Linked DNA regions of Yarrowia lipolytica. The protein of the gene in region 3 purifies or fractionates together with the protein of the main gene of each other region. This does not show direct contact. Links are inferred from orthologs where the notes say so. Each region holds a gene or a part of one and is shown on either strand. Other genes may lie near its edges. The genes, in order: YALI1_D17370g, YALI1_A22157g, YALI1_F19192g and YALI1_B01628g.

Region 1 (7,429 bases), on a different chromosome or scaffold from region 3:
CGCGACCTCATGGAGCTGTGGGGCATGTCCTGCCGCAGGGGGCTGGGGATCTTGTCTGTCATGGCAAACGGAAGGGGAGAGCAATAGCAGCGGCGAGAGCGGACAGCGACGAGAGAGGACAGCCTCAGTCTTATATGTCCATGCAAATGTCACAATTCCATCTTTACACACAACGAAGAGAGATATTACCCCTCTGGTCCATGCACACACACCTGAAATCAGCCCCAAGAAAAAGTGCATCTTCGACAGATCGATACCAGGAGTTGGGGAGGGCCAAAGGGGGACAAACGCGCCCTTGGAGACCATTGGGGGACATTTCACGTGATCCGAAATGAATCTGGGACCACAAACGGAGTATTTGGAGCTCGGGTATCACTGTTGAAGGCGGTATCTCGCGGTGCGTGGTTGGCAGTACGCAAGCCCCATTCAAGCGAAACTGAAAAAAGACTGAAAAAACTGAAAAAAAAAAACAAAAAAAAACAAAAAAAAAAAAACCTGAAAGAAGAAAAAAAAATCACATGTTCCTACTGGATCACGAATCACCCCACAAGAGCCACATAAGCCATGCTCTCACACTGTCTAGATTCAAAAATAACAGGTTCTCCCCGATCCAAAAACAAATTGGGGTGATTGAGCTGTAGGGGAATTGAACCCCTGGCACCTGCTAACAACTGAATGGAAGGCAGATATGTTACCACTACACCAACAGCCCCGAAACATGCCCAGTTTTTTATTCTTGCGCACCAACGGTGGGCGGAAGGTCACGTGACCTGAGTTTTGGAGTGGGATTATTGGTGAAGGGGTGAGGATACTGGAGTTGGAGAAAAAGTGGTAATCGGGTTCTGGAAATTCTTTTAGACGGTTCTTCTAGACGGTTCTTCGACTTAGATGGTGTCGACGTAGATGAATGTCGACGATAAGGCCACGGAGTGTACGCGTAGTGTACTACCATTCACCTAGATTACTACGATACTCGTCCACAAACTAGCCAGCACGGCGCTGACTCTACATCTGAAGCACACTTATCTAATATGTTATCATTAACTATACGAGTATCCTTCATGCTCCTATGTTTGACGATCGAATGGCTATGGCAGTCAATCCTTCTGTTTGCATTGCAGTTTGATACTCGTTCATCAGCTCATCTAAGCGGTTTCATTCCAACTTCCCCTCCAACTACCCAATCCAGAGCGCAACTCAGTAACGCATTGCTACTATCGGAACTACGCCTCACCCATAACCACCTCCGTGGAAACGACATCAAAGGTTCGGACCTTTACGTCCAGCACGGCAGTGACGCCTCTAGGGAACTTGTAGCTCTGCTGCTTCTGCTCACGCACGTTCGGGGTTCGGTAGTTTCTGTGCAGCACTGCGTCCTTGCCCTGCTCCATGACACAGATGTCAACGTTGGAGCCGGATCCCAGATCGTTCCAGATACCGGACTCGATGGCGTCGGATGCAAGCTGGATCGCCTCCTCCTTGGTCAGCTCCTGCTTCCAGTTGGCTTCCAGCACGGCCATGGCAGCCATGGATCCGGAGCCCAGAGCGAGGTAGTATCCAACGTCGGTCGAGCCGTGGGCATGGATCGACATGAGCTGGGGCCCGGTGGGGTCGACGCCCGCCACAATCAGGTACGCGCCAATGTGGCCCTGGTACTTGAACAGGTGCTGTTTGAGCATGGTCAGGCAGGTGACCACTCGGGGCTGTCGGCCCGCAGACAGCGAGTGCAGCTCAATGTTGGACGCGGTGAGCTGGGTGACCATCTCCGTGTCGGCAGCGGTGCCGGCTCCCGCGCACCAGATGTGGGGAGCGATTCGATGCAGCTTCTCGCAATTTTTGTCCGCCACAATGTCGCCACTGGTGGCTCGGGTGTCGGCCGCAATCACCACGCCGCCATCGAACTTGCATCCGACAATTGTCGTTCCGGTGGAGGTCGCGGTCGGCACCTTGACGCCCTTGGCCGACAGATGCGCGTTTCGCTGGTAGTTTGAGAAGGACAATCCTGGCATTGTGTGTTTTGTATGAAGATGTGTACAGGTTGGTGATGTGCTGGTTCGAAGTACTGTAGATATAGCGTTGGGACCCAAGGTGGCAATTAGAGTTTGGCGGTGGGATTTGGGGGAGAGATTTGGGGGTCTTGGGGAAATTTGGCAGGGAAATGGAGGTGCGAGATTTGTCGACGAGGTTGGTTAGTGGCTACTGGGGTTTTCTGCCCGAAAAAACAACCAGAAATGGTCGCTTTGGGTCACCCTCTTGTCGGACATACAGTCTGACACTAAGGTAATCTTAATAAGCAGATATATGAAGAGATAGGAAATGAGGACGATAGAGGCGGAATATTGCAAATCTGACCTTTCAGATGAATTTTACAGCTGTAGAGCTTCAAAATGATACCAAAACGACCCTGATTTGCAGAGTTTTATAGGATGTGGCGAAACAATGTAGTTTCAGTGGAGTTCGATACGATCTCCCTGAATCAGACAGAGGGTCTCAGAGACTGAGGAGGCGTCATAATGGGCCTTTTTTTACAAATATTGATTTGGTTAGAACTTGAATGGCATCACTAGGGCCGTTTCCCGAGGTTTCCTCTTCTAGAGAGTCAGAAAGACGTCTGGTTGAGGTGATGTGGAGGGACTAGAATAGAAACAACTGTACCATTGTAATAAGCTTAATGAAAGATATCTAGCAATATCCAACACCCTTCACTTGGTGTACTGTGGCAAAAGTTGGTGTGTTCATAAGCTGGGATGGTGAGATAGTTGTGGAGAGACCCTGAGAGGCACAATGAAGGGGTACGGACAGTTGTAGAGTTGAAAAACAGGCTTGGTGACACAAAGGGACTAGTGAATCGGCCTTTCTGGTTTCAAAATGGCCCTTTTTCTCATCATAATGTTGTGCTTGCTAAGTTGTCAGCATATGAAGACGTGAAGAGTTGCTGACTCGAAAGTCCAAGTAGGAGCCCGAGAAAAGTGGGAAAGAATGAGAAAGAACCGGAGAGGAGTGTTTCAGCTTTATTTCTTGTACAATAATGCATAGACTAGACACTACTCTACAAGTAACCTGGTATCTCAGTCAAGCCATACACAGACCTCAGGGAGAGGGTACAAACACCACTCTCACTCTCCTAGAAGTTATATAGAGACCAGAATTGGTCAATTTAATGGATTTAGCATCTTTCAAACCCGCAGAATCCTCCATATATGTTCATATCTGGTTCTTTCGGACTCTAGACCATCCCCCCACGTCCACAACCACCCCAAAACGCACATCAGAATAAGAGAAAATGTTTCTTAGTCATCAAACTACATACTAAACCAACTAAACCAACATATACAACTCTCCAGTCCACAGTGTCTCGGGCGAACATGCTCCAGAACTAGTCGTTGTGCTCTCGTCGATACTGGCTTAGTCAGCACAACCACCCATCTGCAACCTTAAAAAAATATTTTCGATTAGCCTTCTATTTTCTGTTATCTGGCACCACCTTGCAACCACACAACCATCATGAAAATCAAGACCATTTCGCGGTCCACGGACGCCTATCTTGCCGACCGAGCCTCCGAGACGTCGCGGCAGCCCCGAAACCTCGACTCCGCGCTGCATCCCTTTGAGCGAGCCCGAGAATACACAAAAGCGCTGAATGCCACCAAGCTGGAGCGAATGTTTGCAAAGCCGTTTGTGGGCCAGCTGGGACGAGGCCACATCGACGGCGTGTACACGATTGCTCTGAACCCGCGGATGCTCAACGCTGCGGCGTCGGGCTCTGCTGACGGAGTGATCAAGTACTGGGACCTGACGTCGCAGGAGGAGACTTATTCCGTGCAGGCCCATGAGAACATTGTGCGTGGTCTGACAGTGACACCCGAGGGACGACTGCTGTCGTGTGCCTCTGACAAGACCGTCAAGCTGTGGGACATGAAGAACAAGAACCCCGACCCCAAGCAGGTGTATCTGGGAGACCGAGGCTTCAACTGTATTGACCATCAGCGAGGTCCCGACACCTCCAAGTTTGCCACTGGATGTGGAAAGGTGCAGCTGTGGGACACCACCCGGTCCAAGCCTCTTTCGTCGCTGTCCTGGGGCGCAGACACCATCACTTCTCTCAAGTTCTCTCCCTCTGAGCACGCTGTGTTTGCCTCCACCGGTTCCGACAGAGCCCTCACCCTCTACGACATCCGAACCAACTCGCCCATCAACAAGCTGGTCACCAGCATGAACAACAATGCCATTTCATGGAACCCCCAGGTGCCGTTCATGTTCTGTGCCGCCAACGAAGACCACAATGTCTATCTTTACGACATGCGAAACCTGTCTGCATGCACATCGTTCCTGCAGGACCACGTGGCTGCGGTCATGGACGTGGACTACTCGCCCACCGGCCGGGAAATCGTCACCGCCTCTTATGACAAGACTATCCGAATCTTCAACGTCCGAGAACGGTTCTCCAGAGACATTTACCACACCAAGCGAATGCAGCGGGTGTTTTCTGCAAAGTTCACTCTGGATAACAAGTACATTCTGTCGGGTTCAGATGACGGTAACGTGCGTCTGTGGCGAGCCAAGGCCTCCGAAAAGGCCGGTGTCCGGTCGTCCAGGGAGCGGGCATCCCGAGAATACACCGACGCTCTCAAGGAGCGATACAGACACATGCCCGAGGTGCGGTCCATTGCCCGACACCGACACGTGCCGTCTGCCATCAAGAATGCCCGTGAAATCAAGGGTATTGAGCGAAAGGCTCTCAAGAGACGACAGGACAACGAGAGAAAGCATAACAAGAACCTGCCTGACATTCATCTCAAACAGCAGCATATTGTTGGTGTTGCCATCAAGGACGATAAGAAGATTGAGGAGTGGAAGAGAATTCAGGAGGAGAAGAAGCAGCATAAGGAGAGTGTTGAGGGAGGTTGGAAGAATGTCTAGTGTTTTGCAGGTGAATAGCACGACGAGAACACGTGAGGAAATGACATCTGACTACACGACGATATTAATATAGACCTGTGAAACGACATTCCACTTTCGACACAACGTCGTCTGTCACAAGTGACATGGCGCACACAGCCGCGGTCGTGTTTCAAAAAAGATATAACATATATATGAGTGCATTTTTTATTATTACTGTACTTGGTTGAAGACTGATGAGCTGAACACATCCATCAACTCCGCCACCCCCTGGACTCTGTAGTCAGTCAGAAAGATATGGCCGGATGGGATTGTTGTGGAACGGCCAGAGGTTGAGCGACTTACGAAAGTATCAATACAAATACCTGGAATACAAATACCAGTACCGGACCGTTATTCGAGTGGATGTGAGGACTTGAGGTCCGATTTGCTGGTGGTAGAAGGATGAATCTACGTTAGTTGCTAAGTCAGTCAGTCCGTACTGGTACGGTACCTGTCTCGCCGTCCGTCGTACGTTAGTTGCTAAGTCAGCCAGTACGTACTGGTACGGTTCTCGTCTCGCCGTCCGTCGTACTGGTACGGTACTGTCTCGCAGTCGTATCGTACGCGCCTCGTACCGTCTCGCAGTCGTATCGTACGCGCCTCATACCTTCCGTCGCACGCTACCGCCCGTCGCACGCTACCGCCTCGCTGTCCGTCGTACCGCCTCGCACTCGCGGGCTCGCCGGACCTCCTACCACTTTCAATTGGCTGACACCTTATCCCTGTGTGTGTTCGGACTATGCGCTCATTGTTTACAAGTATGACGTGCATTATCGTAGGTGCCAAGAGCTGAGATACTGCTTGCTGCGGCTATCTATGGGGTTTAGCGGATGATATAGAAACAAAGGCTGGCATCTAAGCAATCTGGACGGGGCGAAAACCGAGTCGCGGTCCGTGCGACACGAAAAACACGTCTTTTCACCCCCAGCAACGGAGTCTAGCTCCCGCCCCAACTCTGTGATAAAGTTGAAAGGAAGAATGCTAACAATAGATTGTAAACACAAGGGATGTGGGCCAGAGAGGCGCTTATTCGCAGTGGCAAGCAGGGAAAAAGTCGTTGATCACGTCATTAACAACTACAAGCAACAGTGTCGTTGCTTCCTTTCGTCACGTGATAGCCCCAGTCCCGCGTTTGGCCCTCTCCTCGATCCCGCCGCCTTCCCCCTGCATCTACATACTCCAAGGGATGACGTGCAGGAGCCAAGCGTTCATATTCAACTCTAACCCTGGCTCTGACGCGGTATATATATATAAGCGGGGAGGCGTCTCCGTCTTTCGTCTTTCGTCTTTGTTAGTTCCAACCAACGTTCGTTTCTGCCACATCCACCATGCGACTCTCCACCACTCTCATTGCTGCTCTCTCCACCCTGGCTCTTGCTGCTCCTGCCCCTGCCCCTGCCCCGGTCAACGCCATCGTCAACGGCGACAAGCTCAAGAACATCGAGCACCTTGGAAAGCGAGACCTCAAGAAGATCGCCCAGGAGAAGGTGATTGTCAACGGCGACCAGCTGACCAAGGAGGCCAACTAATTGTGTCCGACAAGTGACTGAATGTCAAAGATACGACATGGTCAACCACAAACCAGCCTAGAGAACACTTTGCTCACTGTATATTTAATCAATTAATAATGACTACAACATGTTGCCGTTGATGACTGACGTGATATCACCGCTTGATGACTAACAAGTAACATCAGTTGGATAGAGATGGATAAAGCGATTCGAGGGGATTATTTTGATACTTGACAAAGAGATACCAGGGATATACTGAAAGGAAAGTACTTGTAGCTACTTGTAGGTTAGTCGTAGTCCAACGAAGGTGCGAGTCTCTCTTCATTATATCATCATTTTTTATTAAAACATATATTTTTGATTATCATTAATAATCTTTCAAACAATCTCCGATTTGCTGACTAAGACTACACTAATGGGTAGTCTACTCAAGCTGATTATTTTGATATTATGTAATCACACCTCGATTACTAGGGACAATACATAGTCTCTGATTTGATGACAAACGAGCTATTCGCTAGACATGAAAATTACACCAATAGAAACCCCACTCAAGCCCATCATTTCTACATTTTCAGGTCTCCCTATTGTCCAACAATAATTCCATCTCTGGACGTTCGACTAAGGCAAAGGTATACCTCTCCAACCTCTTCTTCAACAGCAGCAACCAAATAAGAAATGGAGAAATAAATAAATTAACAAAAGAAAAAAATAAAAAAAGGAAAAAAAAGGAAAAAAAAAAGAGGACCAAGAAACAACTCGAAATTCCCATTTTTTTTAATGCACAAAAATCAACCGCTTTTTTGTCCACTTCGGCCGCCATACCCAGTTACCCTACTGCATGACAATCTGCACACAAAGTTGATCCTCCAGTTGTGCATCACCAACGAGACATTGCACTACTGTACACACACACACACACACACACACACACACCGTCACACAAGATGATTGTGAGTATGATTGGAAAGAGCCAT
Region 2 (8,176 bases), on a different chromosome or scaffold from region 3:
GAGGAAGAATTTGTGTGATGGGAAGATCTTCTCACAGTATCTACACCAGCCCGAGTCACTCTGTTTGAATTGCACAAAGTGGACCAGCCGCAGATGTCGTTTGAGCACATCTGATCGTGTGAAAGAGCCTCCGTTTCTGTGGCATGAGTTGTCTTCGGCGTAGAAGGGACACACAAACAGCGGCTCCTGGTGCGATCTCAGGTGGCGTCGTTGGTCGGAAATTCGCACAAATGACCATTCACATCCTGGGAAGGTGCATGGGTACTGCCGTTCTCCGGTAGTGGTTTCTGCAGCCTGAGGTCTTGAGGGCCGTTTGTGTTTTCGATGGTCGGCCTCGAGTTCCTTTTCTCCCAGAGGCGAGCAGTGGCTCAGGTCGTTGTTAGCCAGCACCTCGGCGACCTCAATTCGTTTTCTGCCTCGCTTTTTAGGTGGCGGTCTGTCGCCACCAAAGTCGGAAGCTGTGGACGCCTGCTCTGGAGGCGCGCGATTGTTATTGTTGCTGGTCTGCAGAGGCGCGTGCTGTTGAGGTTGCTGCTGCGCGTAGTCGGGGTAGGGTCGTTGTTCAGGCGAGTTTACACGAGGGTCGACGTTAATACGTGGCAGCTTGGGGTGTGAGGCGTCTCCCTGGTCGACTGGAGGCATTCGCTGCAAATCGGCCGAGTACGGGTAGTACGGGTAGTAGCCCATGGCGGGGGGTCGCATTCCTGGAGGAGGCAGACGCCCAGGGGCATAACCGTATGGTGCTGGAGGCTGGTGCTGGTGAGGATGGGCTTGTGGGTGGGGTGGTGAATGCTGGGGATGCTGGGGGAAGATACCTGGAGCTGCGGGAGGCTGCTGATGCGGATGGTTCTTCATATGAGAATGTGGTTGGGGGTAAGAGTAGTATGGCGAGGACTCTATGGCCGCTGTTGGGGGTGCAGCATTTCTGATGTGCGCGATCAATCCATCGGGCCCTCGAGCTGATGCTGCTGCTGACAAGAGCGATGTCGTATGAGAAGTATGCGACGAGGCGTTGTTGTTATTACTGTTGATGTTGGTGTCGGGGCGCAAGCCTGAGGCAGCTTCAGTGAGCACAGGTGCGATCTGGGGTTTGTTGAAGAGCGACTGCGACTGCGGATGTGGTTTCAGGCTGTTTTGGGTCTCGCGATCGCGGGCTTCCTGCGTCATCAACGGGCCTCGTGTGTCCGTCATGGTTGACGAGTCTGGTTGGTTACTGGTGCCGTTGGAAGACGATTGTTGTTGTTGAAGAGCAGAGTGAGGCGGATTGAGAAGGGCGGAATCGGCCTGGGAGGAAATTGGGGGGATGCGTGAGCGTTCGTCCTGAGCAGACATGTAGGGTTATAGGGACTTTTTCAGACCAAAATCAAAACAAGTGCAAACCACACTCGTGTGCTCTGGGCTTTTGCTTTCTCCAAACTGCTGCCGAAGGCCCTAAAGGTCCGTGCGGCGCGGAGTAATTCCAGCCGCTTGCCCAACCCTATTTTACCTTATAAGGCCAGGGCTAAAAGAAGCGCCGCAAGGCCGACAAACAAGTTGAGGTTGACAGCTTCCCGTTGTCTCCAAGAAGATAGAGATGCAGTTTTACGTGTGTGGCGCGGGTGTATAGGCTGAATCACACTGGCCTACCTAACCCCATGCAGCCGGCACACACACAAACCCTTAAACAGACCCACTCACAGCAGTCTCAACAGTTGCTGCTAGGTTGCGTGCCGAAAATGTGTGCGCAGCATTGCGTTATCCTCCTGTGCATTCAGCAGCCCTCGCTCCGTTAAATGAAACTCTTAACTTGTTTATTCGCAATCATGCCGACAAGCGGGTGGTGTGCTGCTGACGTTTCTGGGCGCGCAGAAATCAGTGGTCCGGAGGATGACACACCACTACTAAGCCATCCAACCGCTATGTGGCCCCGTAGGACCTTCCCCACTCGGGCCCAAACTTAAGACACCAACTTAAACGCAACCGTTGTGTTGCGGCGTCACGTGCATGGGAACCCGAGACCTCTCTCAGGCGGTTCTTTCATACCATACCATACCTACAGTATACACAACAGTTGAGTTTGGCTGGAGTGTACATGCGGGGCCCGTTGAAACTCAACAAGAGCCGCATAGAAAGAAGAGCTACGAAGAAATGGCTGTAGAGCACGTCATGGACAGTCAGATGTGATACGACTAGACTTGGGGAGATCCAAATACAGCAACCTACACTTCTTCTCTCTTATACTTCAAAACCCGTATCTCTATACGCCAAACACCTTATTATCAAAAGGGAGTCTCCGTTTAGTGTTCACCATTTTTTTCCGCAAGGCAGCATGAGCAAACTACCGATTTCATTAGCCGGTGAGTGGCCATACATCTTATCTGCGGTCGGTGGACGGGGAGCCGCAGAGGAATGTACACATACTGGTAGTTACGGGAAGTGGAGCGTGACAGGATCTGGAGCATGATAATGGTGTGCGGCGAGATAATAAATGGTGCGGCAAGCCATTCGGCACGGTTACGACAAATTGATACAGTTTTCAGTGCTATCATAGTACGAGTACGAGTAGGAATAAGCGTTTGCATCGGTGTCTTCCTGCGTCTTTCGAGTAGCTACAGTACAAGTACAGTACCGGTATCTCAGTTGTATACACTCGTACTGCATTCATTACATCATCTACATAATCTCTCGAACTAATACTTTGAATCCTTTCGCTTCTATACTAATTATGCATTTCTTACATACCTCGGAAGGCGTTCTTGCCAGCCCGTCGTCGACCATCATACTCCTGTCTGCTCTTTCCAGTGTCCCGTGCCTCCTCTTCATCTCCATCTCGCTTGGGTCGAGGACCACGACCCTTTTTGCCTCTTCCCTGAGGCACAAAAGTCATCTCCACGGCTCCTCCAGCGCCCTTGGACATCTTGACGTTCTTCATGACGTGCCGGTCCTCCTCAGCCTCGAGATCAGCCACTCGGTCAGCAAAGTCGTCATCGGGAATCTCCTCTCGAGCAGCCTCAGAGCCCGTAGTCATCTTGATATTGTCAGCACGCTTGGCCTGGAAGGCTGCACGCTCAGCAGCCTTCTTCTCAGCCCGCTTCTCTGCCAGAGCCTTCTTCTTGGCGGCCTTTCGCTCATCCTCAGAGTCGGGCTCCTCATCAGTAGCCTCCACGTGCTCATCGGACGAGTAGCCGTTATTCTCCTCCATGGCCTCCTCCTCAGCAGCAGTAAGGGGTCGGGCAGTAGTTCGCAGAGGTGCCTCACCATACTGCTGGCCCTTGACCTTCTTGTGCGAAGGGTTGAGCTGCTTGAACTCTGCAGCATTCTCGTCGACCTCGAAATCGGGGTTCTCGAAAATGCCAGCGAATCGATCGTCGGAAAGAGCAGCCTTGGAAGTCTCCTTGGCAGACACCTTCTTCTTGTTAGTGACCTCGGCCTCAGACTCAGCCAATAGTCTCTCAGCAAGAGCCCTGTTAACCTTGACACGGGATGCAATGGCTCCAGTTCCAGAGGTTCGGATACGCGACTCCCGCTCCTTCTCCAGAGTCTTTCGGATCTCCCGCTCTCGGTGCTCCTTGTAAGCAAAAGGGTTGGAGATGAGCTTGGCCTGCTCGTAGAGCCGCTGGTCAATGAAGTAACCATGCATATACGACTTGACCACGGCCGAGCCAATGAGGTGTGAAATGTTGAGTGCCGCCAGCTCTCGCTTGGTGACAAACTTGTAGTTGTCGTATACAGAAGTGCTGGGCTTCTCCTCCAGCTCTTCGGTGACGTTTTCCAGGAATGAACACCACTTGGGCGCAGGTCCCAGATTGGGGATGTAGTAAGTATGCATAGGAATACCCTCGTTGGCGAACATGAACATACCGGAACCGGGGATGTGTGCCACGTCGTTAATGTCCACAGTGGGCTCAATGGAGGTGTAGGCGTCTCCGGTTCGTCGGTCCCAGATCTTGGCGACTCGCTTGTCGGCAGACAGCACATGGTCGTCGTTGACCCACAGCACCTTCTTGATGCCAAAACCGTATCCCTGGTCCTTGGTGACATAGGGCTCCGGCGCTCGCAGATCAAAGAGACGAACAATACCGTCAGCGTTACCGATACCCACGTTCAGACCGTCGTTTCTGAACTTGAGAGCTGTGGCACCGCCACCCAGTCCGGGAGCGCCCACATCCAGCATACCCACTCTGCTCCTACTTCGAGGATCCCAAAATTCGACAATACCAGCATCAGTACCGAAACCCAGGAGACCGTGGGCCTGGTTAACGTCCAGACAGTTGACACCGGCACTGCTGAGCTCAAAGGGAGCCATAAACCGACCCTGGTCCAGGTTCAGTCTGTATACCTCGTTTCCTGCAGCTCCAACATACAGGTCGCAGTTTTCGTCGTTGTAAGCCAGCGCTCGTCCAAACTTTGGGATTCGTGATTTCGTCAGGATTCCGCCCTGTCCTTGGAATTCAATAGATCGGTCGTTTTGCAGATGCACACTCTTGGTCCAGTCGTCGGAGATAATCTTGAAGTCAACATTCTCAGCGTCAGTGTGTCGCTCAAACTTGAGAGAGAGATCCTCAAAGTCGTAGACATGGATCTGAGGCTTATAAGTACCGGTGGCCATGCAATATCCTCCATCTCGAGTCACCTCAATTTTGTTGGAAGCCTCAGCAAATTCGAAATCCTGAATCAGCTCGATTCGGTTGGAGTACTCGGCATCGTTCTTGAGAGACTTCTTTCGCTTCTTGGCCAGCCATTCTGGCAGTGATCTGGAAGAGTTTGTACCAGAAATCTGGTACACAGAAACGGCTCCAGGTGTAGATCGAAGGACCATTGTGGTGTTGATGCGTCAGTGATATACCTTGGAACTTTTGTGTCCCTCTGCAGATTACTGCCAAAAAATTTCAAATAGGCTCACCATGCATATTTGAGCCCTAAACCAGGTTACTGAAATAGGCTTCTCAAGTGAAAATGATTACGTAAACTAGCTACAAGATCGATCTTGAACGGCATATATTTATTGACAAATGGTAATGATAGGAAAAGAAGAGAATATACTGCAAGACCGTAACTAAGTACTTCCAGAAACAGTGGCTCTATCTTCCAAGGAAGAAGTGAACTTGGAACGCAGCTGTGTGATATCAAAAGACGGCGTGTCTCCCCAACGTCTAAGGAAGTCATTGAAGTAAAACTCGCACCCGTAAAAGTACTTCTTGTCATAGAACCTGCTGAACACGGTGGCAAATACCCCAACAAACCGTAGAGACTGCTGCGAAAGCTCAGCCAGTAGTTCCACAAGAATCAGACCTCCAGACGGGAAGACCTGGATGCAACCGTTGAAAGTGGACATGATAAGCTCGATAGAAGACGTTTCCTCGTGGATAACGCAGTTGGAATAGGCTGCCAGGAGTCCAGAAAAGAGCACTCTAATCAGATCTTTGTCAATCTCTTCGCGAATAAAAGAGTATGTGTATTCAATCTGGAGTCTAATGACCCCAATTAAAGAGAGAATCACGTGGTTTCTCTCCCGGGTAGCCATCGTGGTGCCCTCGAACTCGCCCAGCTGGAAAGGAAGGTACCTGTCTTCCAACTTGATAGGCTCTACCTTGGAGGGTAGAAGCGGAGATGGAGGAGAGACATAGGAGAGAATGTTACCGATGACAAGATCCTTATTTCCAGCCCCATTCATCTCACAAACGAGGTAGAGGAGTCTACACAGCGCAAAAATGAGTGATACAGGGGGATCAAGCTCATAGAACTTCTTGTTCGCTCCGTACACCTCCTCAGGTTTATCAGCGGCGATCCACTCAGTCACCACTGCAGACAGAGCACCCATCCAGGTGTGATGGGGGTTAGAAGAGTTCATTTTGGCCGACAAGAGGTCTGGACGGTCCAAAATCTGGAACACAAACTCCATCTGTTGGGTGAGAGAACCCGTGGAGTATCGTGGGACACATGGATGGCTTGGCAGCTCCTCCTCAGGGTCAATGAATCTGATTGTGAGACCAACACGAACCATAAGAATGGTCGTCATGCCCACAATCTCCTCATCAGGGTTCTCCAGCAGCTCGACAAGCTCTTCGTAGTAGTCTTGACGAACAAGCATGAGAGAGAGGAACTGCAGGTCAGGTTCTGACGCACAGAAGCTCAATATCTCACCAAGGCTGATTTTTGGAGACTGTTGGAGTCCTGTCAGTATCTGGGAGATCTTTCCGAATCGCGAAAGTAGGTAATGGGCAGTAGCAGAATCTCCATTGGACACAGGCATGCCCAAAACAAGACCTCGAGACTCGTCTAGAACTTTGGTCATGGTCTTGGGTTGGACAGAAATGCCTAGGGCGTTGGCCCGTAGGTTGAGTGCTCCCCAACGTTGGATCAGAAAGTCAGGAATAGAAATTAATGCCTGGTTGAGCTCGGATATGAAAATGTAGACCAGCGTGATGCCATGGAAGACTCTTCCGAAGCGCACAAAGTCGATTGAGCCTGAAGAGACGCAACATTCCTCACCCAGAGAGACCATGGTATCGAACACGGAGTGCATGCTCAGCAGAACACTGGAGTCGATAATGGGCGTCTTATAGTGACGAGTGAGGATCTGGACCATCTGCTTGGCAGCTTCCAGACGGTCTTCCCACGGTCCTTCGTTGATCAGCCGGTTGCAGCTGTATCGAAGACAGATACCACCCAAAAAGCTGTCTAGGTAAGGCTCATTTTCTCTCCCTGAGAACAGACAGATGGCTTCACTGTTGGCGTAGAGGTCGATGGTTCCATCTCTATACACAGATTGGACGAAGGGTTCCAGCTTTCCAGAGTTGAAGGCAGTGTATAGGGCGTCCATGATAAACAAACAGAGTCTTGTGTTGAGAGTTGTATGGTATGTGTTGTGTAAAAAAGAGACAAAAGTGTTAGGATATACTGTAGAAAGTGAGCCCCAAAAGACCCGTCATAAAGAGAATGTAGAGACGAAAATACACACAGTGTACTGTACATTGCATATTTGAGCAGTCAATCGGAGTGCGAGTATTGTACTGGCAGCAGTATCACCAGTCGGTTTGGGTTGTGGATCAGACGACATGAACCCCAGCCTCTTCAAGACTAGCAACAATCTTTTTTTCAGAAGAAGGATCCACAGGTTTGGTGGCTTCCCTAATGACTGTGGTTTTATAGCCGCGTTTGGCAGCGTCTTTAGCTGTATTGAACACACAATAATCAAATGCAAGTCCCACCACGTCAACCTCCGTAACGCCATTTTGCTGCAACAGGTCATGAAGCTCTGTCTTGTGGATGCCCCAAACGTCCTCAAATCCAGAATAATACTCTCTGTCCTGCAAGTATCCCTTTCGAACAAGAGCCTGCACATTGGACGAGTCGAATGAAGGAGGGTAATCTGCCCCAGAAGTACCCTCCACACAATGAACAGGCCACACGGTATGGTCTACCTGTTTGTCTGAGTTAGGGTGCTTGAATGTGATTGAGGTGAACGGCTCAGCTCCATGGTTGGCGGCGAACGATGTGTGGTCTTGGGGATGACTGTCTTTGGTGGCCACCACAAATTTGTACTTGCCAGAGTCAGCGAGTTTCTGAACAATGGGTATGATGTCATTTCCGTCGACTACAGCAAGAGAGCCTCCAGGAAGAAAGTCATTTTGCAAGTCCACAATGATGAGTGCTGCCATGGTGATTTGGTGTGTGGGGAGGTGGAAGTTTCATGACGATAACGTCTGTCTGTCTGCATGCGCGCGAATCTAAATTGTATAGGAGAGATAACCAACAAAGTGAAGAATATAAGAGAATCAACATAATTACTTGAAAGATACTTGACAAACAGCATAAATCAGAAAATAATTATTGCTATAAAACACAACCTACAGCCCTCTACTCTTCCTGAGATCCTCAATGGTTCTACACTGAAGAGGCTCTGCCGGAATATGGGGCTCTCGACCTCCATGGGGCCAGGTGGGGAGATAGCAGACCTCGTTGTCCTTGCACCGATGAGTACAAGAAACAAAATAGGACCAGTTGAGATCAGATATCAGATCCGAAACGTCAGCATGCAACTTAGATGGAAGCTCTTCAGAAACGTTGCCGACACGAGTCTGTACCTTGTTTGCCCAATCTGCAGTTTCCATGATTACAGAACACACTGCAGTGGAAACAAGTCTGATGGCGAACCTCACTTTTTCCTCAAAAGGCGTGACGTCGTACTTATGGA
Region 3 (7,805 bases):
CAGATACCATAGGCAAGACCCGATAACGCAGATACCATCCAAAAGTTGTGAACTTCATTGACACTCAGAGCTCCAATCTGACCCATCACAGAGGCTGCGGTAGATGCAATCAACAATAATGATCGCGGGTGGGACTTGCTAGCAGCCAAATCACACAAGTACCCTGATCCAATTCGACCTAGGAACGAGGCAATGGAAATGGCACCCACCTGTAGAGACTGCAACTGCTCCGAATCGTGGGCTCCAGCCACGGTCTTTGACTGGAACTGTAGCGCCTTGACGCTGAACCCACACGAATAAATGAACATCTGTCCAATGCCTGCAATGAACCCCATGATCACGAAATGTTTCCAGAATTGGCTATTCATGATCAATTTCAATCCATAAATATCCACATTATTGGATGTTGCGCTGCTTTTCTTGATATCAGCATCTGCCTCCTTGGACCTGGGGCTTTGAGGGCTGGTAGGCTGAGAGATACGAGTGTGCATTTCGATACCAGAGGTACCCCTTGAGTGAAAAGCTGGAGGCAAGGGGCGCACGGTAATGATACCAATAGCAAGAAGGATGGTGGGGATAATGGCTAGAGCGAAAAGAAAGTCGAGAGTAACGCCATCATAGTAGGTCGAAAAGAGTGTAGAGAAGAAGAAGGCAGACAGTCCAAAAGCTGCCATGGGGACACTAGTTGCAGCACCGCGAGCATTAGGGAAGTTCACAGCTGCACATTTCATGGCGCTGGCAAATCCAAAGGTTCCTCCCGTTCCGACCAGAGCCATGGCACACGCGAGAGTAGGCACGGAGGCCACTACATTGATGTAGCAAAGCCGTATGATAGTGTAACCACCGCCCATGAACAGAGCGCCGATGATAATGGGCGCCTGGAACCCGTGCTTGTCCACAACGACACCAGCAAAAGGTCCACTGAGTGCCATGCCGAGGTTTCCAATCATGCCGATTTTAGACGTGTCAGTCGTATTAAGAGCGAGCCGCAGCCCTAGCTGGGGAGCAAAAGCCGAGTAGAGGTACATGGTACCACACGCGATACCGGTAAGGAAACATCCTACCAGCGAAGCAGCTCTTTCCATTTGTCGTGTCATAACATGCGGATGTTGTATCTGGTTAGGTTCTGTAATATTTACAGTTGTGACGTGTGTGGTGGATCCTTGTATGTACTCGTACTGCCCCGCCCCCCCCTAAGTATAATGCGGAGTAAATAGAATGTTGCGGTCCGTTTCCGGGGCAAGATAATACTGTGTTGGCCATTGACTGGTAGCAGAGCTACTCATTCTACAAGTAGCCTACAAACTCTCTCAGGTTTTGTGGTATGGTCGTATATGTCTTTATTTAAATATAAACAGTGGGGATCTATTCTGCATTGTGACGTCAATCTGATCTACAGTACAACACGAAACACCCACGCGAGGAATGGAGGATGGATTGTACAATAGCACAATGTAGGATGGGACTCAAAAACTAAAATTGCGTGTGTGCTTGTGTTTGTGGGTCCGGCACTGATTTGACAACATCGAAGAAATGGGTATAGTGTTAATCGAAATCACCGTTATGCTCATTGCCACACCAGGTTCACCTGCGTTGTCCTCTCGCACTTCATTACAGTAGCACTTCCGTCTACAGTTCGTACGATAATAGATGCACTCGTAAAGTACCAGGACCAGAAAACATATGTACAAGTACTGTACCAGTACGAGTACGAGCGAGTACTTGCCTCCGCATCAGGAAACTTAGGAGCTGGAACAGAGCCCCCATAATTTGCCACGATGCGTGATATTTCTACCTCATTATTACATAGAAGAATGTCACACGCCTCAGGTCATCACTGTATCATGAGCGCCAGCAGTTAAGGGCGCCTCTCCAGCAATGGTTTTTAGGTTGTTATTTGTCAATCTCCTCCGCCTCCCCCTATTGCCACGACGTGCAAGCATCTCGATTCGGACATCAGAAGAAACGGAGTTTGTTTGGAGAAAAAAAGTGCTGGGGGAAAAGTATATATATGTGTTTCGGTTTGCGACCGGGTAACCGAAATTTTCTCTGCCTCACAAATTATGCGTACCCTACTACCAATTCTCCCAACAGTCATTGCCGACTGTCTGGGCATAGTGTACCCAATGATGTCCAAATCGGGAAATAAACCCTTAACCTATTCATCAGCATGCCCATATTGTAAATCTCACGAGAACAGTTGTGTCAGTCCACCGCAAAATGTCCTCCCTCGACAACCAGCTCTCTGCGTTTAAAAACAAGATCAAATCGGCGCCTACGATCAAGAAGCCGTCGTTTGTGGCTAAACGCAAGGAGGAGGAGGAGGGTGTTGGTGGTCAACAAAAGAAGCGTAAGGTGGTTCCGCCCGTGAACCCCTTCAATGAGAACGTTGGCCGCCACGCTGCTACACAGTTGATGCATGCTGTGGAGTACATCAAAAAGCAGGTTGGTGTTGTTCCGATCGAGAACATTCGATCATACCTGTCGCTGCAAAGCGCTGATTTCTTGGTGCCCCTATTGAAGAAGATGGACCAGATGTCCTACAACGCTGTCCAGAGGGGATTTGAGTACATGCCCAAATTCAATATCCGTACCAAGGCACAGCTCATGGCATTTCTTAAGTCTCAACCTACAGCCAAGGGTCTCAGCGTGCGCGATCTTAAGGACGGCTGGGCCGATTGTCTAGACAGTATCGAAGAGCTTGAGCAGAGCGGAGATCTGATTGTTCTCCGTACCAAGAAGGAGAACTCACCAAGAATGATGTGGGCTAATATGGGTGGGCCAATCGGCATGGTTGATGGAGAGTTCCGGTCAATGTGGTCACAGATCAAGGTCCCCGATGAGTCCGAGTTGCCGTCGAAGTTGGAAGAGGCTGGCCTCAAGCCTACATCTGTGGATCCTGCCACTATCAAGAGCAACAAGGCCAACGGGAATGGTTCAAAGAAACAAAAGAAGCCCCGTCGAAGCAAGATCACAAACACACATCTGGATGGTGTCCTCAAGGATTACGGCAGATAGTTGGTCCGTACCTGAATATTCAAGGTCGCGCAGTTAAATAGGCATCCAATTGGTGCCATCATATTATTTTATTACATTCATATAGCATAAGGAATCTTCCTGTATTTACGATCAAGGGTTGACACTGCGTGCACATTGTACAATAGATACTAAGACCAACACAACTGGACGTACAGTATGTAAGATTGAAATACCATTGTGAGAGAGTTTGTTTTTTCTCGAAAATGAGGAAGTGAACTAAGTCCTGATTCAATGAACTTGCCTTTTCTCTACGGCATAACAATAAGTTACCGACACGTACCTACCGTATGTGTTATTTATTGCGATGTCATGCTTAATCAGCACACATGGTTAAATACAAAATAGAGTTCAGTTGTTCTGCAGGATGGTAGAAATTTTGGAACTCTAGAAAATATATTTCCAACCACTTCACAAGCATCAGGATGTCCGACCAAGTACGATTCTACCTAGAACAGAGCATTCCTGAGCTCGAAGACCTTGAACAGCGAGGACTCTTCACCAAAAAAGAGATTGCTCAGCTTGTGCGTAAGCGAACCGATTTCGAGCACAGAATCACCGGAAGACAGTCTCGGCCTCGAGATTTTTTGCGGTATGCCCACTTTGAAATAAATCTGGAGGCTCTTCGGATGAAGCGGATTGCTAGACTCGGAAACAATCCTGCTGCCAAGCTCAAGAAAAACAGAAACAGAAACATGCCTACCCCTACAAACATCTCCGACTATGCCGGCCGAAGGCGAATCAATTTCGTGTTCGACCGAGGAACCAAGAAATTCGCAGGCGATGCTGACCTGTGGAAGCAGCACATCGCTTTCCTGAAGCATTACAAAATGATGGCGAAGCTGTCGACTGTCCATACTAACATGCTCAAGCTCTTCCCCAACCGGGCTGACATCTGGATCATGGTAGCCAAGCATGAGTTTGATGAGAACTCTGCAGCACAGACAGCACGATCTGTCTTCCAGAGAGGTCTGAGATTCAACCCCGAGAGCAAAAAGCTTTGGCTAGAATACACCAAGCTGGAGCTGTTGTATGTGTCTAAGATCCTGACTCGACGAAAGCTCCTTGGAATCCTTGCTGATAGAGACAAGCAGCGAGAGGCTGAGGAAGTAAAGGAAGTTGACGATGAAAACGTCATTGCCCTTCCTGAGCTTGATGGTGACGATGACATCAAGGCTGAACTCAAGACTCTTCCTGAGGCTGATATTGACATGCTCGGTAACCCCTCCACCAACCCTGCCCTTCGAGGTGATGTTGCTCTTGCAATCTTCGACTCTGCTCTCGAGACTATCCCTAGGTACTCTTCAGAGATCAACACTGGTCTCAAGAATGACGATGGATCTTTTACAGTCGCTCTTGCACCTCATTTTGCATTCCTGCTGTCTTTCTCACGACAGTTCCTCGAGCTCTTTGACGAGTTTGAGGATATGGACCGAGAGTACCTTTGTGCACATGTCATCCAGGCTGTCATGCAACAAATCAACAACGACATTGGGTCCGCATCCCTGAAGCTCACCGAGAGTGCTATCGCAGATATTGCTCGGTTGGTGGTGGATGACATCACCCTCTCAGTGCGGTACTTGTCCCCTCTTGATGCTTCCTTCCCTGAGGCCTTCAAGCTGGCTCTGAACAAGTACAATGTCGCCATGTCTAAGACCTGGAAGAAAAAGGGATCGGAGAGACAACAGCAAGTCCGTAAGCAAATTGCGTCACAGTTCAAGGAGAAGCTGGCGGACTACCTTACAGCTGGCAAGTCTGTTGATAGAGAGATCGACGAGAACCTCAAGCGAGCGCTTAAGGCCGTCATCAAGAAGACCGAGGACGATATGTAAGCATCTTTAATATATATTTACACACACGCAAACTGCATCTGTATATAAGTAGCTATATTTAGAATATTTTGATATGTTTGGTATATTTGGTATATTTGGTATATTTACTGTTCTATATCATGTTTAGTCCTTCTTGCTGCTTCCCCAGTCAGCAAAACGAGGAAGGGGAGTTCCGAAGTTCTCTGATCGCAGTTTTCGTGGGAAAATCACGCCCTGAAAAACAACGGTCACAATAGCTGCAGTAGCGATCATGGTTGCAGCACACCACATGAGCGTGGTGGAAGAGAAAGCGGAGTTGGAGTCAGGGTTGGCAGGGAGGGTAAACACCTCGTTATTGTTGCTACCGGGATACCACTTAACAGAGAGCTGGAGGGGCAGAAAATCACCGTTCTTGTATCTCTCGGTCTCCGTTCCTCTGGAAAACGCGGCTGCTACCACAGGCGTCTCGGTCTTTCGCGAGTACATCATCACGGCATTGAGCTTCGGGTCGATGTCCAAATGAGACTCCTGAATGTGGCCACGAATGGTGAATGTCAACGGAAGCCAGGTTGTAGGCTCTGAGAGCACGTTCTTGTTCTTTTGTTTGGAGGCTCTGAGTCTGCAGCTGAAGGGAGCATCCTCGTGAATATAGAGCTGGAAAAGGTGGTAGAGCGTGTCGGAGAATCCAATGGTGCAATTCACATCTTGGTCAACACGGTATTGAAGAGAGAGGGGCTTTCCTGTTTCTCTGCAGATGGGGAAGTCCTCATAAAGAATTTCTTGGGTCTTTTCATCGACCATGTGTTCTCCGTCGTGGATGTTTCGTTTAATGCATTCGAGAGGGAGATCGTCGCCTATGCTATAGGGGTTGAGATCTGTTTCTCCCCGAGAATCAAAAAAATATGGCTCAGCAGCTAGCACTCCGGCGATAAAAAGCGGGGCCAGTCTCATGTTGGTTGTGTTGGATGGTGTGGCCAGATGGTTGATCTGAACCTTGTAAGGTCAGCTACGTCACGTGCCCAAACAAAGAGTGCTTGGTGTCAAGGCTAAATTAGCCACATGTGGAAGGCACAGCGAGGCATCCATCGTGTCATAGCAACCATCACCTCGAACACCCAGATGGGAAAAATGGGAATGCCACAAACCTGTGCTGATTAGTCATATATCTGCCCAAAAGAGCCTTCTACTCTGAAATCAGATCGTACATGGGCCATGCATGGAGCTAAGTTACAAGTAAGAGGCAGCAGCAACAAGCCTCCCCATAGTTTCTTTCATGCCATGACGACCATACCGCAATCGTCACGGAAAACCACACTGATTCCACCACCAACGCAAGACTTTGCAGCGCGCCAACAGACCATACGACTGTATCCCTCCTCCAACTACGTGTTCGCAACCAAGGATGCTCAGGTTGAGAGGGATGTCTCTGTGCAGGCGCGCATGCAACGACTGAAAAGCATGTACGACGAATCGGGGATGTTGCGGTACGTGGAGGGGGTATTTCTGTGTCATGAGTTCGGAACTCCTTACGTCTTCTTACTCCAGTTGCCAAACAACTTTTTTAAACTTCCCGGAGAGTACTTGGACCCCGACGAGGAGGACGAGGAGGGTGGATTGCTGAGGAAGCTCGCAGATAGGCTCAGCCCTGAGAACGGAGAGGACCAGGAGAACTCGAAGTCATGGAAGGTACTAGACTGCCTGGCGCAATGGTGGAGACCTAACTTCGAGGTTTTCATGTATCCATTTCTGCCACCGCACATTTCTCGACCAAAAGAATGCAAGAAGACTTTCCTCATTTCTCTGCCCGAGAAGATTGCTTTCTTCGTACCATCGAATATGACATTCCTTGCTGTCCCTCTTTTCGAGCTCTATGACAACCCCGCGCGATATGGACCCCAGCTTTGTGCGTTGCCACATTACCTCTCAAGATACAACTTCGAGTGTGTAGACAAGAATGGTGTGGTGGTGTCGCAGTTTCCTGGGTCTGCACCATACCAGCAAAAAGATGGAGAAAGCAAATTGCAAGCATAGAGCAACGGGCATGTGGATCAAAGACTGGATAATGGGTGGCAACTGCATAAACACCACAGATCACCCTGAGAGAAGATGTGCCCAGCCATCTAGTTACTAAGCTGCTAGATGTCCTGCATGAGGTGGTCGTTCAGCACCCTAGTAGTTACAACTACGAGGTAACTGCGGAATGATCAGGTCTCTTTGGTAAGTACAAGTACATACCCGGCAAGGGAGTATAGCTGAAGTAGACTGCAATAAACTTTGTATAATAGCTACGATACTCGATGTTTGTCCCTTCTAGTGTTCGCGGTTTTGTTTCTAATGTTTGTATTTGAATAAATTAACTAATATACAGGATTCCAAGAGATTGGTGACACTCAGCATTATATATGGGTTGCAACAAGGCCCTAAGAGAGCCAGCGCTGAGACTGGAAAAACTCATAGATTCGAGCGGTTTTGTTGACATCAATCTTGACCAGTTCACGGGCTGTACGCTTCTTGAGCACACCTCCGGTTCGCAGCAGCTCTCGGAACAGCGTTTCCTTGATGGCCAGATACGGCTTGGGCAAGATACGCAGCTGGGAACAAAGAACCTGCTCTTCTGGAGAAAGCAGCTCCACGTCTGGGGCATGCGAGATGTCGAGGGGATTGGCCACAGGTTTTCTGAAAAGCCGTAAGGTGTCTGCTCCCGAGTCAGGGTCCATCTTCACAGCTTCGGCGGCAGCCTGGTTTGCGGCAGCGGCCTGTTTGTTGGTTTTTTGAACAAGAGCATTGTTTGCAGCATTCATCGAGTTTGCAGTGTATCTGGATCCAGTCGAGTTGATGGAGTTAATGGGAGCCTGCAGCCTGGCCAATGCGTTTGCACGTACAGTTTTATCTCGTTCGTATTTGGACGCAGCTTCGAAGGTGGTGATACCGTTACGTCGATACTCCTGAAGTTCAGCC
Region 4 (7,773 bases), on a different chromosome or scaffold from region 3:
CGTTTATTAAATCCCAATGTTCATATACATTGTCTGTTTAGGTGCCATATACAGAAGCCTTTCTTCTGCACAAGACTGCTCATTTGTGACGGTTACATAATCAGAACATTAGTAAAAATTATATCGTTGAAGAGCTCTTGTTCAGGTGAACACAATTGTTTTGTTGTTAACCGTCGATAGGTTTATTATTGGCTGGGTTGTGCACTTCTTTTCAGGGGACGGACCGTATGTAGCTCTGGAAGAATGAAGTCACCTCCAAGTCAATGAATCTCATGCAGACAGAACCAAAGTATCATAGTGTCGTCACGTGAGACGCGGAAGTTGGACACGTGACCAACTACTCGATCTTGTGCTCCGGTCACGTGAAAACTGAACACGTGGACAACTATGCCAGTCATATGACAACATGCACACACCCTCCACTACTCGTACAGAACCAGAATAAATTATTGTATTTCATTAGACCGATGCAGACCGTTGTTAGACGACATACGGTGGAGGTCCCGTGGCATATCGAAGCAGTGTAGAGAGATGACTGAAGTTCACAGGTCGACTCCTCTGGTGAACGGACCACGAGCGGACCCATCGGACTTTGTCGTTGGTGTGGAACGGAATAGATTCGGGTCTGGATTTTCTCCATATCAACTCCCACCCTGCCGAGCTCGGCTAAAACAAATCATCCAAATCCATATCGTCGTCACTGCCCACACCCTTGTCCTTGACCTCGCCCTTTTCCACCTTGTCCTCACTCTCCTCCTTCTCCTCCTTCTTTTCCTTCTTATCGATCTCCTTCTTCTTCTCCTTGATGGTATTCTTTGCCTTGAGCTGTTTCTTCTTGACCTCCAGCTCATGTTTGAGCTTGGAGATTCGCTGGTTGAACCGCTCCTTGAGCATGGCGTTGGCGGTGCGGTCGGCGTCGTCCTGCTGCTTTTTGATGGTCGCCTCCAGATCTGCAATCGTGTCGACCAGCACCTTGGCGTGTCCTCCCTCTTCACCGTCGTCGTCATCGTCCATTCCGGCCGACGCTCGGGGCAATTCCTCTTCGTCCGAGTTGTCCGACTCACCTGCGCCTTCTCCCTCATCTTCGGACTCGGACGCATCATCGGCCTCGATTTCTTCGCCCTCATCCGAGCCTTGGTCCTCCAGGGCCCGCTCCAGCTCTTTATCGAGCAAATCCACGTCCATTTCTCCCTCGTCGACCATGGCAAACCGCGGAGGAGGAGTGGCGGCGGCAGAAACAGTGGTAGACACAGATTGCGAGCCCGCAACCCCACCGGCTCCATACAAGGACGCCAGGGTGCGTCCATCGACAAGCTCATATGATGTGGAGTCTGCCTCGTCGTCCAGATCCAGCAAGTCCGTCACCTTTTGCTCCACCGATTCAATCACCTTTGTGGACACGGTTTTTCTGAATCGGCGACGTTTGGCGTCAAACAACGGCGGAGTCAGGCCATGGCGACAGGTCAGCGCGCTTTCGCTGGAGCTCTTGTCCCATTGCATCGACCGCGCCTCCATAATGCTGTGTTCGGACGAAATGGGCTCGGTGACAAGTAACATTTGGCAAATGTCCAGACACTTGAACATGTTTTTGCCGCGGTCAAACGTCTTTTGGGCCTCGACGATCGCCGGCAAGTCCACCAATTTCGCCGCGTAATGCCGCCCCCGCACAGAAACCACCGCCCTGCGCGAGTCCTTGAACCGAATCACAATGTTGCTGTAATCCTGGTTCTCCACCGCCGTCCGCAGATATGACAGGTCGTCGCGGCCTCTTTTACCGATTGGTGGGAATCGCAAAATCAATCCCTCTTCAATCAGCGGATCGTCTTCGCGGTCCGGCGCTTCGCTGTCGTATCCCTGGCCCGGTTCGCGGGCGGCCTTGACTCGGATCCGCGGCACCACCTTGCTCTTTTTAGTGGATCCGCCACTCGCGGTCGACGCCCGGCTGCTTTCCGGCGCCGCGCTCTCGCTCTTTTTGTTGCTCAGTTTCAGGGACAACCGCGGCTTGGACTCCCGCTCTTTTTTGGGCGCCTTCAACTTGATGCTGAGCGACGGAGTGCTCGGTTTGGCCCCTTCCTCATCCGTTTTGCGCTTCTTGGTCCGCCGCTTCTCCGGCGATGCCTCCGGCGACCGTTTTTCGGGCTTCAGCTTGATTTTGATCATTGGTCAAGTGGAGAGAGTGGCTAAAAGTGGTGACAAGTGTCTGGAGTAAGTGCAGAAAGTTTATTTAGAACCAGACGGGCCCTCCAGTTCTCGGTAGGTCAATGAAATCGTGTCGAAAATAAAATATTTGGAATCTCCTCAATCACAGCTCCACAATGGTATTAATATTTCGGGTGGACGGTCGGCGGGAGACGAACTTATCTGAAATCTTACTTGTTGACATTTGTTGAAAATTGGTTAGCATTCTGGTGTCATTTGTTGAAACTTGGTTAGCTACTGTTACCAAACCCTTTCCAGATAGTTTTCATGTTTTTCAACACAATCAAAGAACAAATGAGAAATATTGAATGGAGCATACTATTTAAAACAACCCCATTAACAAACTGCAACTTCAACCATTCAAATCTGAGCAATGTTGGAGCTTCAAGATGAGAGTCAGTGTATACATCAGAAGTCGTGGGAAGCCAAACAGAGTCTCTGGAATCGCCAAAAGAGTGTCTCTTTCGTCAAAAGGTGATCTCGTCCACTTGTTTTCGGTAAGACATATCTACGAGTACCTACAATACGAGTACCTCATCACCGTGAGCATCCAAGAATCTCCTAATCTACAAATTCTGCATTACGAATTCTGCCCTATTATCACCTTAGTCAGCGACAGCCCATCAGACATTCCCCCCCCCCAGGTCAGTCAAGGTCACCCCCACCGCGCCGACCAAGACTCTGATCACGTGACCACCCTGAAAGTACCCATTGTTCTCATCACGTGATCATTCAATCCCGTCGATCCTGTTTCCGTTTGGCTCCACTTGAGTATATCTGACTATTTTTTTATCGATATCACTTTCTGCAGTGATATGCAGATCGGAAGAGCGGTTCAGCAAATGAATTAAAATAAATAAAAAATAACTAGAAATTAAATAAATAAATGAAAAAAAATATAAAAATATATACAAATATATACAAAAAAATGGGATAAAAAAAGAGAAAAGGAAGAAAAGAAAATCGCACAATGTACCTACTTTATTGTGAAATTAGTGGAAATATGGAGCCGTCTAGGAAGATTCGACCGTATTTAGATGTGGTGTAGCGTGGGAATTTTTTTGGAAAATTGGGACCGGAAAATCTGAAATAAAATGGGAAAATTGGGACCGGAAAATCTGAAAATCAAAATAAATCAGATAAAATCAAATCTCAAATCAATAAATCATTTCCCTAAAAAAAACCCCATTTCAAGCCTCCTGAATCACAGCAAAATTAGGAGAAGAATTTTCACTGTGGAAACGATGGGACATGGAAAATGGAAAAATGGAAAATGGATAAAAGAAAAAAAGACAATTGGAAAAATTGGAAAAATTGGAGAAAATATGGAAAAAATGAAAGATGGCAAAATGAGAATGGAAAATGGGAAAATGGGGAAATGGTCAGAAAATACCACATGTATCAGTTCAGATGTTTCCCCGCTCAGACTCGCCCAGACATTCGCTACACTCTCATCTGGGCTTGTCTCGCCTGGGCCCTAACCCTAAAATAAACTTTGGAAAAAATTTAGTCGTCCCAAATTTTTTTCCCATCCATCTCCACTGACTACACTTGACAACCGCACTTGTCATCTACGTCACCACCGCCCACACACGACACCATGACATTTATTCTGACGGAAACGTCTGCCGGCTACGCCGTGCTTAAGGCCAAGGACAAGAAGATCTACAAGTCGGAGTCGATTCTCGAGGAGCTGTCGACCCCCGAGCTGGTGACCTCGCAGTTCAAGGTCAAGGGCTTCTCCAAGTTTGACTCTGCCGCCTCTGCTCTGGAGGAGGTCAACGCCATTGTGGATGGCCGGGTCTCCGACAAGCTCGCTGCTTTGCTCAACGAGTTCAAGGACGAGAAGAAGTCTGCTCTGGTGGTGGCCGACCCCAAGCTGGGCAACGCCATCAACAAGCTGGATCTGCCATTTGACGTGGTTGCCGAGTCCGCCTCGCTCGATCTCTTCCGAGCCATCCGAGAAAACCTGCCCTCTCTGCTGCCCGGCCTCACCGAGAAGGACCTGGCCACCATGAGCCTGGGTCTGGCCCATTCGCTGGGACGACACAAGCTCAAGTTCTCCCCCGACAAGGTCGACACCATGATTGTGCAGGCCATCGCATTACTAGATGATCTGGACAAGGAGCTCAACACATACGCCATGCGAATCAAGGAGTGGTACGGCTGGCACTTCCCCGAGATGGCCAAGATTGTCGCCGACAACATTGCCTACGCCCGAGTCATCAAGACCATGGGCTACCGATCCAACGCCTCCGAGACCGATCTGTCTGAGGTGCTCCCCGAGGAGGTTGAGGCCGCCCTCAAGGTTGCCGCCGAGGTCTCCATGGGTACGGAAATCACCGAGTTTGACCTCGAAAACATCCAGTGCCTCGCCGACCAGGTCATTGACTTTGCCGAGTACCGAGAACAGCTCTCCAACTACCTCAACGCCCGAATGGCCGCCATTGCCCCCAACCTGACCGCCCTCGTCGGCGAGCTCGTCGGTGCCCGGCTCATTGCCCACTCCGGCTCCCTCGTCAACCTCGCCAAGGCCCCCGCCTCCACCGTCCAGATTCTTGGTGCCGAGAAGGCCCTTTTCCGAGCCCTCAAGACCAAGCACGATACCCCCAAGTACGGTATCATCTACCACGCTTCGCTCATCGGCCAGGCCTCCGGCAAGAACAAGGGTAAGATTGCCCGAATGCTCGCCGCCAAGGCCTCCGTGTCCATGCGATACGATGCATTTGCCGAGGAGCGGGAGGACGTGCCCATTCTCGGCATCGACAACCGAATCAAGGTCGAGAACCGTCTCCGACAGCTCGAGGGCAAGGAGATTGTCGGCACCGTCCGACCCGACGTGAACAAGATCGAGCACAAGAAGGTCGACCTTTCCACCGGCAAGCAGTACAACGCTGACGCCGACACCGTCGGCAACACCACCGCCGGAGCCGACTCTGACGACGAGGATTCCGACTCTGAGGAGGAGGTCAAGGAGAAGAAGGCAAAGAAGGAAAAGAAGGAAAAGAAGGACAAGAAGGAAAAGAAGGACAAGAAGGACAAGAAGGAAAAGAAGGATAAGAAGGAAAAGAAGGAAAAGAAGGACAAGAAGCGAAAGCGAGAGGACGACGACGACGAGCCCAAGAAGGAGAAGAAGAGCAAGAAGTAAAGTAGATAGTGGTATGTATTTTAATTGTTAGACAGACGCGGAGGAGGTTCGACAAATGAGGGCACAGCCCGAGTCGAGAGTTACCGACCCAGGCAGTAGAAAGTAGCAGCGACCGCCGCGAACGCCGCGAACGCCCACTCACAGTCGAGATTTACTGATCTATAAACAGTAGGAGAAAACACCAAGAGCGCCGACTGCCACTGACCACCGACTATAAATGTTGGGATAGACTGCTTGTATCGTATCAGAACACCGACAACCGAGTAGTGCTGCAGCGTCTTGGTGATTCCCTGGACCCCCTGTGAACATGCTGATCTTTAAGGCCTGTGTTAGTCAATGCAAGTGTACTCACGGGCTGAAAGTAGGACACATTCCTATCACCTATAGCGTAACCGTGAGGAGGAATGTGGCATGGAGAACTGCCGTAGTGATCAGGACTGTACAAAGTCGGCAGTCATCATTAATGTGTCTGTGGGAGACGTGCGAAAGCGTGCGCTGTGATTGGGAACGAGTTCCGAGGGGAAGCTTGGATTTTCCGGAAGAAGCCAGAGAGCTTCTGCCACTTATCGAAGTATTGCAAATGAAATGGCTGCGACTTTCGCCATCAATACCGGAGGCACCTCTGTGCTAAGAACATTTGCAATGGTTGGGGGGCACTGTGGGATAAGAGCAGGCTATCAAGGATTGATCATGACGGGAGTATAGGGGCGGAGAACTAGGCCAGTATGGGGAGGGTGAATAGATATTCGTGTAGAGAATTGTCAACGGAGGAGGTTGCATGGAAACGACTTGATGACGTGGTATGAATGACGCTGCACCATTGGACAAGAAGACAGAGCCTGTGTTGCGCGGCTGCGGCCAGAAGGTAAAGGGGTTGAACAATAAAGGGGTCTCGGTAGAAGAGGAAATAATTCAATTACCCCTTGACCACGATCATACCCCAACCCTGCCTCACCACTGGACCACTCATTACACTCGTATTACCTCATTAATTCACCTCACTCCCTTTCTTTCCAACCACCATCCTTCACGGACAACACTGGCTCTACAAGTAGGCGACCGTATGGAGACCATTGACCGGACGGCTGTGGAGGGGGAATTGGATTGAAGGAAACTGGGTGATGGAGGGAATGAACAGATCTGGTGAATTGGAAAAGCGAGAGGAAGGATGTAGCGGATGACCGGGTGGAGCCTAGAATGTGAGCGAACGAACGAGCTCCAAGACCTGGGCAATCAGTCTTAGAATCTCTTTGATACGCTATGGAAACCTTGCGACGGCTTCTGATTGGGCATTTGAGTAGAGATTTGTTTCTCGGCGATTTCAACATTGAGGCGAGAACGACCGCCTGCGCCAAGTGTCAGTAGATCCGAGACTGTATGTCCTGTTGACAGCCATGAGCTGACGAATGCCATGAGCTGAGAGCGAGTTTGGCCGAATAAAATGACCGAGCCTGCTCCGTGCCTTGTGAGTTCTTGAGGATCACATGTGCCGCTGCCAGAGCAAAGAGCCAGTCAGTGATACATTCGCAAAGCCACTGACAGAGATATTCAAGGGTGAAACTTCCTTGACACAGGTCCGTGTTAGCTATCATTCACGAGGTATCTGTGACTGTACTTACGTTGAGTGAGCGAAGAGAGAAGGAGTGGAGACAAACTGAAGGCTTCACCATGAACCGGAGAACCGGTGTGAAGTAACACTGAAGTCAGCGACATTGTGTGCGTATCTGTCACTGGAGCCAGAGACATTGTGTGTGTATCTGTCACTGCTGCCAGAAGAATAATGTCAGACATTTACTGGGTGGTCTCAAAAGGGCGGTCTGCAACGTTGACTGCGACGTTGACTGCGACGTTGACTGCGACATTGACTGCAACAGTGGATATCTGTTGATCGACTCTGTCTGTCTGTGTTCGTCTGTGACTGTCTGCGTTCGTCTGAGTCTGTCTGTAAGAATAGTGGGGGTCCCAACTCCCCCTTATATAATTTTTTTGGACCAAGATCACGACATGGTTGGTGTTGGGTGGCCATTGCTCCAGTCTATTTAAACTGAGCTCATCCTCTGCAGATAGGTTCTTCACGGGATGCACCCCTTCTTTTTCAGCAAGTTCACTCACTGAACATGGAAAGACTGGATCAATTTCTGAAAAGATCTCCCTCATGGATCTCACTCGGGGATCTCCTTCACCGAACTTTTCTACTCCATCTCTTACCCTGATCAAGTCTTTCCCTCACCCAACTCCGAAGATATCTTTTCCTCCTTCTCCGGCCAAGTTCTTCACTACACCCAATTAACCACTTTGAGGGCTCTCACCACCATACAACATTGAGGTCCCCGTGAATAATGTCACGCGAGAGGATTTGGTTTGTACAAACTACGCAATGGGGTGGAAGTTGTACGGAAAACTGGAAAACCTGATTGCGATAAAAG

Evidence for each region.
Region 1: the proteins of YALI1_F19192g (region 3) and YALI1_D17370g purify together in Saccharomyces cerevisiae (affinity purification with mass spectrometry, with the first as the bait; 3 studies listed by BioGRID). This does not show direct contact. The link is inferred for Yarrowia lipolytica from reciprocal best matches to the Saccharomyces cerevisiae genes UTP6 and SOF1.
Region 2: the proteins of YALI1_F19192g (region 3) and YALI1_A22157g purify together in Saccharomyces cerevisiae (affinity purification with mass spectrometry, with the first as the bait; 3 studies listed by BioGRID). This does not show direct contact. The link is inferred for Yarrowia lipolytica from reciprocal best matches to the Saccharomyces cerevisiae genes UTP6 and ENP2.
Region 4: the proteins of YALI1_F19192g (region 3) and YALI1_B01628g purify together in Saccharomyces cerevisiae (affinity purification with mass spectrometry; 5 studies listed by BioGRID). This does not show direct contact. The link is inferred for Yarrowia lipolytica from reciprocal best matches to the Saccharomyces cerevisiae genes UTP6 and NOP58.

The regions. Positions count from the first base shown.
Region 1 is NC_090773.1:1,733,560-1,740,988, forward strand, and holds YALI1_D17370g (uncharacterized protein), read left to right. Parts: upstream 1-3,504; coding exon 3,505-4,920; downstream 4,921-7,429. Other genes in the region: YALI1_D17336g (uncharacterized protein), read right to left, coding at 1-62; YALI1_D17355g (uncharacterized protein), read right to left, coding at 1,224-2,009. UniProt on the Saccharomyces cerevisiae protein: Required for ribosomal RNA processing.
Region 2 is NC_090770.1:2,212,324-2,220,499, reverse strand, and holds YALI1_A22157g (uncharacterized protein), read right to left. Parts: upstream 4,799-8,176; coding exon 2,714-4,798; downstream 1-2,713. Other genes in the region: YALI1_A22192g (uncharacterized protein), read right to left, coding at 1-1,332; YALI1_A22137g (uncharacterized protein), read right to left, coding at 5,036-6,802; YALI1_A22129g (uncharacterized protein), read right to left, coding at 7,029-7,640; YALI1_A22111g (uncharacterized protein), read right to left, coding at 7,830-8,176. UniProt on the Saccharomyces cerevisiae protein: May be involved in rRNA-processing and ribosome biosynthesis.
Region 3 is NC_090775.1:1,915,834-1,923,638, forward strand, and holds YALI1_F19192g (uncharacterized protein), read left to right. Parts: upstream 1-3,461; coding exon 3,462-4,868; downstream 4,869-7,805. Other genes in the region: YALI1_F19169g (uncharacterized protein), read right to left, coding at 1-1,097; YALI1_F19180g (uncharacterized protein), read left to right, coding at 2,221-3,018; YALI1_F19216g (uncharacterized protein), read right to left, coding at 4,992-5,798; YALI1_F19218g (uncharacterized protein), read left to right, coding at 6,060-6,878; YALI1_F19244g (uncharacterized protein), read right to left, coding at 7,268-7,805.
Region 4 is NC_090771.1:158,836-166,608, reverse strand, and holds YALI1_B01628g (uncharacterized protein), read left to right. Parts: upstream 1-3,799; coding exon 3,800-5,347; downstream 5,348-7,773. Other genes in the region: YALI1_B01644g (uncharacterized protein), read right to left, coding at 667-2,160. UniProt on the Saccharomyces cerevisiae protein: Required for pre-18S rRNA processing. May bind microtubules.